Oryctolagus cuniculus: one gene and its partner. The main gene of each other region encodes a partner of the protein of the gene in region 2 in a complex. Links are inferred from orthologs where the notes say so. Each region holds a gene or a part of one and is shown on either strand. Other genes may lie near its edges.

Region 1 (3,552 bases), on a different chromosome or scaffold from region 2:
TCCCGGGGCCAGCCGTGGGCAGGCTGGGCTGTCATGTCCTGGGTGCTGGGGCAGCCTCCGTGCAGGCTGGGCTCCCCTGGGGGGAAGGGGCAGCAGCGTGCTGGGCACTCAGCTCACCAAGCAGCTTCTCTCCCGAGACCAGCGTCACGCGTCCCTTGGATTGTGGGTGTTAGAACAGCAGTGATGGTTCGTGGGAGGCAAGCGCCCAAGGTGGGCGGTGAAGGAAGTCAGGAACACTCTCAGTATACCTGGAGGCAGCCAAACCCCTCTGAGCCACGCACGCGCCTGGCTGAGGTCGCCGCGTGCCTCTGCTACAGTGCCGGGCTCGAGTGCTCTTTTGATAAAAGGTCATCGTGGCTGGCGCCTTCCGTACTGAAAGGGAATACGGATCTTCCCAGAGGGCCCAGCGTCAACAGCACTGCTGTTCCCGTTCCTTTAGCTATATCATGGAGAAAGTGGACCTCGTCATAGTTGGTGCTGAAGGAGTTGTAGAAAACGGAGGCATCATTAACAAGGTAGGGGCCGCCCCTCTCCCCGCTGACCTGGGCGCTGACAGTGCTGTGTGCCTCTCCACGCCAGGGCCGCCCTGTGAGATCCCATAAGCCACTGCACCGCTCAATCAAATTTTGTTCTAATTTTCCTTGGAGATTGATGTGCATAAATTAAGATGGGGTAATTTATATTTACACAGCATAATTTGTATTTACACGAAACGAGTCTTAATTAGAGTTGGGGTTGGCAGTTTTGTTATTTTAATGGGGCGCTGACCTCAGCATAATTCATCTTCTCTGCATTGCTTATCTGGGAAACGTCGGTCTGCAGTTTATTCTCATTTGTGGTCGATACATGAACAGATCTGCCACATAATAAGTGCGGCTCAGCAGCTCTGAGTACATTCACAGCCTCGCTGACTGTCCTTGTCTGTTTCCAGAACTTTCCATTCTTTCCTCACGCAGTCCGTCGCGATTAAACACCTACCAGCCTTTCAGCCTCCCTGAAGGCCCTGGTCGCCTCCACTCTGCTTTCTGCTACCTGTGAGCACGGCTGCTGTGGCTGGGCACGGTGTTGCCGAGGTGTAGGCACGGGGCACGTGTCTGGCCCTCACTGTTCCCTTTTTAACTGATCCGTAAGCAGCCTGCATGTCTACGCAGTACCACGTGATGTGTGGCACTGAAGTGGGGGGCGCGCTGTGTGTGCATCCCAGAGCTTGGGCTGTTTGGGCTGTTTCTGCGTCCTGCCCCTGTGAACATGGTGGATCCGAGCCAAAGCCCTGGCTGGTGTCTCATTGACGCGCGGAGGTCCATTTCCCTCAGGGCCCTCAGGTCGAGTGATGCTGGGCGTCTTCTCGGGTGCGGAGGGACCTCTGACTCTGGGACCTCTGTGAAAGGCCCTCTGGTTCCAAGCCCTGTGCCCTTGCTGCGGGTTCCACGTCAGAGTTGCTCTAGGAGCTCCCCTTCGCCCTGTCTTCCCAGATTGGAACCAACCAGATGGCTGTGTGCGCCAAGGCACAGAACAAGCCCTTTTACGTGGTCGCAGAAAGCTTCAAGTTTGTGCGGCTCTTCCCGCTCAACCAGCAGGACGTGCCGGATAAGTTTAAGGCAAGAGGGGGCATGGGAGACTCGGCCTAACCCTTGGAAGAACTAGTGCCACCAGCGTTCCGGTTAGACATTCACCTGCCACTGCCGTTCTCTCCAGCATCAGTCGGGGGTCCTAAAACTTGCACTCCATGTTTGTCCCCAGAATTTCAGTCTGCAGCCCCCTGCCCACATAGCCAGTGGAGTGTGAGGAGAGGAGCCAGGAGGCTGGCAGCCGGGGTCCCAGCTTTGGAATCCACTCAGCTCCCCCCCCACCCCCGCAAACCTGTGACCAGGGGCAAGTGCTTTCACTGTCACTTGGCTTGCTTCCTGTCTGTCATCTGACAGGAGCTGGGGACTCCGGCTGTCCACAGGGCCTGGCACGTGGCAAGCACTGGCCCCCTCCTGGCCACACGCTGCCAGAGCTGTCTGAGGTAGCAGCACGCCCGAGCTGGCGCAAGGCCTCCCACTAACGCGTGCTCTTATCCCCGCAGTACAAGGCAGACACTCTGCTCAAGTCCGTAGAGACCGGGCAGGACCTCAAAGAGGAGCACCCATGGGTCGACTACACCGCCCCGTCCTTGATCACCCTGCTGTTCACGGACCTGGGTGTGCTGACGCCCTCCGCGGTCAGCGATGAGCTCATCAAGCTGTATCTGTAACGCAGGCCCCTGTCTGCCGACGCCCCCGGCGAGCCAGCCAGAACTGCACTGTTTTAATGAACATTGACGGACCACTGGAAACTTCAAGTCTGAAATCTTGGGGTCTTTTTTACTCGCCTCGCAATGCATTCACGGCCCTCAACCCAGACTGTGCTTGTGGTCTCCAGAAGCTCATCCTAGGTTTTCAGCAGCTCAACAAACAGTTTGCCGAAAGCAGCGCAGGCCTCCACGGCGTGACCGGGACGCCTGTCACACGGCGCCTTGCAGGAAGGTGAAGAACACGAGCCGAGTGTGCCTCTGGCTCAGGCGGTGAACAGGGCCGAGTGCCGCATCCCTGCACTGGCTCCCGCCCCACGGGAGACCACTGAGGGGGAGGGAGAAACAGCACGGGCGCTCGTAGCCCGCACAGCCTGGCACACACGGAGACACCTTCCCCGACACTGCAACCTCACATTCTGCCTCTGTGAGATGGTGACTTCCTTTACATGTGTCTGGGTCCTAAACATCCTGCCTGGGAACAGGTTCGGCATCTTTTCAAATAAACTAGGATCACGATGTTGATGTGTGCATCAGTAAGGCAGGCCGGCCCTTCTGGTCAGACACGGCAGCACGCCCACAGCCAGGCCGGGCGCTGGCCTGGTGGTTAATACACTCGCGTGCCCCACCTCAGTTCCTGGGTTCCAGCTCCAGCTTCCTGCTGATGCAGACACGGGGAGTCACTGATGACAGTTCAAATGACGGGGTTCCTGCCACCCTCGGGGACCTGGATTGTGTTCTGGGGCTGCTGGCTTTGGCCTGGCCCAGCCCGAGCTGTTGCAGGCTTTAGGGCAGCGAATTGGCATAGGAGCTCTGCCTGGCGCTCCACAACGACAGAAACGCCAATCAGAAAGGCATGGTTTATTCAACAGGAGGCGTGAAATTCAAAACGCCCTCCCCAGAATAGGACCCGATTCCTCCGCTTTTCTGATACTTGCCTGGGGGTGATTCTTAAAACAGCAAAAGCCCAGCACACTCGCCCGCTATGAGGAGCTGCAGGCAGGGCTCCAAGGGCAGTACGCGTAGGCGCAGGGGCCCAGGGCGGTCACGTAGGCGCAGGGCTCCAAGGGCAGTACGCGTAGGCGCAGGGGCCCAGGGCGGTCGGGCGCCTGACCGTGCTAAGGAGCTGCATAAAGCAGACTGCAGTGTGAAATCCAGGGACAGACAGCGACCAAGGCCAGCGCTGACGCCTGTGTTCACTCCCTGTCAAACTTCCTTCTGTGACACCCGCCTCCAGGGCTGCTGGGATTTCAGTAAAACCCAGACAAGCGTGCAGTCCC
Region 2 (3,814 bases):
ATCCACTGGTTCACTCCTGAAATGGCTGGAATAGCTAGGTCTGGACTAGGCCAATGCCAGGAGCCAAGAACTCCATTCTGATCTCCCACATGGATGGCAGGTGCCCAAGCACTTCCGCCATCTTCAGTGTCTTCCCAGGCACATTAGTAGGGAGCTGGATTGGAAGCCAGCTGCTGGAACTGGAATGAGCATTGCAATGTAGCAAGAATGGGCAATATCTGGTCCATGTGAATTGTATAAAGCCCCTGAAATCATCTGGCCTGGCCCTGCCAAAGCAACTGCAGGTGTGACTCGAGATTCAATAAATCTACAGCAGGTTAATTTTTAACTTGATAATTCTGTATAGCCCACGAATGAAACTATAAATACCCAGATGGACATTCACAGAAAAAAGGTTCCTCACCCCTTTGGGATGCTGGCGTCGTAAGCAGTGGCTTAGCTTGCTGCAGCACTATTTGCCAGCCCCTAAACTCATACTTAACATTCCATTTTCCATGAACTTTTTGAAGTGCTCTTGTATTTGATGTTTTAAAGGGCAGTGATTAGGTATTTTACAGAGCACATTATTTGCCATGATTTAAATTCTATAAAGACTTTAGGAACAAAGTAAAAATGAAGGTCTTGAGCTCACCTCCATTTGAACATTAAACACTCCCCTCTTTTCCTCGATCTTCTCTTTGATAACAGCCATAGCTTGATTGAGGACAGAGAGACCTTCTGTTCTCTCTAGGGTTGTGGTAGTCATCACGTATCGAGGAGGAGCTATTAGATTAATCTAAAAGAGAAATAAAATTCAATTATGAGTTTACCTACAAAACATAACAATTAGGATGTCTAAAAATTGTGTTATTAATTTGTGGCATTAACAAATCACCTCAAAACTCCCAATCCTGTAGATGTGCAATTTGGGACCATTTGTCAATGTAGTAATAATTAATAAAGTAACCTAGTCCAGTAGCATAAACAGAGCATTGCAATACAGACTATGAAGAATTAATTATAGCTTCTGGCTGGCACTGGTGGCTAAACTAGTCATTTCCAGCATAATGGACACTTTGGCTCTAAGCTAAGCCCACAGAAGGAATTCTAAAAGATTGTGAATAACAGCCATCCAGCTTATTGCTAGAGTCAGAACAAACTTCACAGAGGTTGTTTGTGTGCAGTTGAGAGAGAAGGCTAGCCTTTTCAAGGTACTAAGAGCATGTGGGCATTACATCTCTTTACTGAAGTTAGCAAGAGGATTCCCCATCTACTGTGACAGCAGTAATCACAAAAAGCCTACACATTCCCTAGAAATAGCACCAAGAATCACGGTTCAATTTCAAGGACAAATCACTTTTGTTATGAAACACGATCACAGAAAAAAAATCCAAATAAGGATCTCATTTGGTTTCAACATTTCATCAGGGAGAGAGAAAACTGAGGACTCACTTTGATGGGCATGGTTTCCGTAGAACAATTCAAACCTGCTCTCAGGGCTTCTTTCACAGCATCAATGCCTTCATAACCATAACACGCCACTTCAATATCTAAAATTACAAAAATTCAAAAGCTAACACAAAAAACCCAGGAAGGATTACTTAAAGATTTAAAAGATATCAAGAGATGAGGTAGATACACTAGCATTCAAATAATTATAAAGGCTTTTATCACCTTTTAATTAGCAATCAATCCCAGTTATTAATTTTTACAATGAAAAATATCTAAATATACAGTGAAATAGTAACTTTTAATCCACATCAAGTCACCTAATAACAAAATTACAAATGATAAATATATTTAATAAACACTTTAAATTTTGGTTACGACTGGGTTGAAGTACCGATTCCGACCTCTCTGAAATTAGTTTCTTGTTTATAAATGGAGATTAGGAGGGTGTGAAGGCCGAGTGAAATAACCACTGCGGTGTGTCTACAAACTACAGCCCCTCTGACTCACTGATTCTACTTTTGGGAATTGGTCTTGAAAACTGTTGTATAAATGTGTTAATTATTAAAAAAGATTTATTTATTTGAAAGGCAGAGTTACAAAGAGAGAGACAGAGAGGGGTCTTCCATTTGCTGGTTCACTCCTCAGATGGCCTCAATGGCCAGAGCTGTGCTAATCCAAAGCCAGGAGCCAGGCGCTGCTTCCAGGTCTCCCACATGGGTACAGGGACCCAAACACATAGGCCATCTCCCACTGCTTTCTCAGGTCATAGCAGAGAACTGGGCTGGAAGAGGACCAGCTGGGACTTGAACTGGCGCCCATATGGGATGCTAGCACTGCAGGCAGTGGCTTTACCCGTTACACCATAGCGCTGGCTCCCAGTACATTTCTTTCTTTCTTCTTTAAGATTTTATTTATTTATTTGAGAGGTAGAGTCACAGACAGTGAGAGGGAGAAAGAGAGAGAAAGGTCTTCCTTCCACTGGTTCACTCCCCAAATGGCCACAATGGTTGGAGTTGTGCCGATCCTAAGCCAGGAGCCAGATGCTTCTTCCCGGTCTCGCATATGGGTGCAGAGGCTCAAGGACTTGGGCCATCTTCTACTGCTTTCCCAGGCCATGGCAGAGAGCTGGATTGGAAGAGGACCAGCTGGGACTAGAACTGGCGCCCATATGGGATGCCGGCGCCGCAGGCGGAGGATTAACCTACTGCGCCACAGTGCCGGCCCCACCTGCGCCAGTGCATTTCTTTTGTTCGTCATTGTGGAAAAAAGAACTAACACCACTTAAACACTCATCAAAAGGGGACTGGTTTGTTAAAGCTCATCCGCTCTCCCAGCCATGAAAAAGAATAAGATCCCTATGTTCTTTCTCATGGAAGGGTATCCATGATATTCTGGATGGAAAAAGGTTAGTTTGACCAATCTTTGTAAAAGCAAATTTTTTTTTTTTTTTTTTTGACAGGCAGAGTGGACAGTGAGAGAGAGAGACAGAGAGAAAGGTCTTCCTTTGCCGTTGGTTCACCCTCCAATGGCGGCCGCGGCCGGCGCGCTGCGGCCGGCGCACCGCGCTGATCCAATGGCAGGAGCCAGGAGCCAGGTGCTTTTCCTGGTCTCCCATGGGGTGCAGGGCCCAAGCACCTGGGCCATCCTCCACTGCACTCCCTGGCCACAGCAGAGGGCTGGCCTGGAAGAGGGGCAACCGGGACAGAATCCGGCGCCCCGACCGGGACTAGAACCCGGTGTGCCGGCGCCGCTAGGCGGAGGATTAGCCTAGTGAGCCGCGGCGCCGGCCGTAAAAGCAAATATTTAACGGTTTTTCTGGTACATACAAGTATTTATAAAAAATCATTTACCTGCTCGAATTTTCACAGCCTGTGGGGTCAAACGCCTATTAATATTATTAATGAGTACTTCCCGTTCATCTTCATTCAAATCTAAACTATCCAAAATAGATGGATCTCTGATTTAAAAGACAAAATAAAACAAAGGGTCAAGGTTATAGTACCAGTAAGTGTAAAACAAAACATACTATATCATGAAATAATGCACACACCGAAACGCATGGGCTTTGGGGTCAGAAATATTAGTTTTGGATTTTAATAACTGTGTAACTGGGCCTTTTCAAATGGTAAAATTGAGATGAAAATTTCACAAGACCGTGGTGAATACTAAATAAGATAAGGCAAGTAAAGCACTTAGCAGGGGATGACAAACAGAACACAATCAATTACCAGTAGAAAAAAATTACAGAGATCTGACTAAAACAAGAAACCTAATGTCTCCCAACACATCTGACATCCCACTATAATTAAGGTTTTCTATATAATTAGCAGCCTTTGCTTCAAGGACTTTGTAATCTAGCTTCAAAAGAATGAAAACAAGGAAA

Evidence for each region.
Region 1: the proteins of EIF2S1 (region 2) and EIF2B1 are in contact, whole or in part, in a cryo-EM structure (PDB 6K72), measured with the Homo sapiens proteins. The link is inferred for Oryctolagus cuniculus from reciprocal best matches to the Homo sapiens genes EIF2S1 and EIF2B1. Residues at the interface, in NP_004085.1 of Homo sapiens: Ala28, Glu29, Met30, Tyr33, Gly44, Met45, Leu47, Leu48, Arg75, Lys80, Tyr82, Ile83, Asp84, Arg88; in NP_001405.1 of Homo sapiens: Gly39, Thr41, Ile42, Gln43, Gly44, Leu45, Arg46, Ala47, Asn48, Glu70, Arg74, Ser77, Ser80, Leu81, Glu82, Tyr83, Ser84, Asp85, Tyr86, Cys89, Leu305.

The regions. Positions count from the first base shown.
Region 1 is NC_091452.1:5,814,302-5,817,853, forward strand, and holds the end of EIF2B1 (translation initiation factor eIF2B subunit alpha), read left to right. Parts: intron 1-439; coding exon 440-515; intron 516-1,472; coding exon 1,473-1,598; intron 1,599-2,068; coding exon 2,069-2,236; 3' UTR 2,237-2,791; downstream 2,792-3,552.
Region 2 is NC_091451.1:13,233,253-13,237,066, reverse strand, and holds part of EIF2S1 (eukaryotic translation initiation factor 2 subunit 1), read right to left. Parts: intron 3,389-3,814; coding exon 3,282-3,388; intron 1,530-3,281; coding exon 1,432-1,529; intron 776-1,431; coding exon 632-775; intron 1-631. UniProt on the Homo sapiens protein: Member of the eIF2 complex that functions in the early steps of protein synthesis by forming a ternary complex with GTP and initiator tRNA. This complex binds to a 40S ribosomal subunit, followed by mRNA binding to form a 43S pre-initiation complex (43S PIC).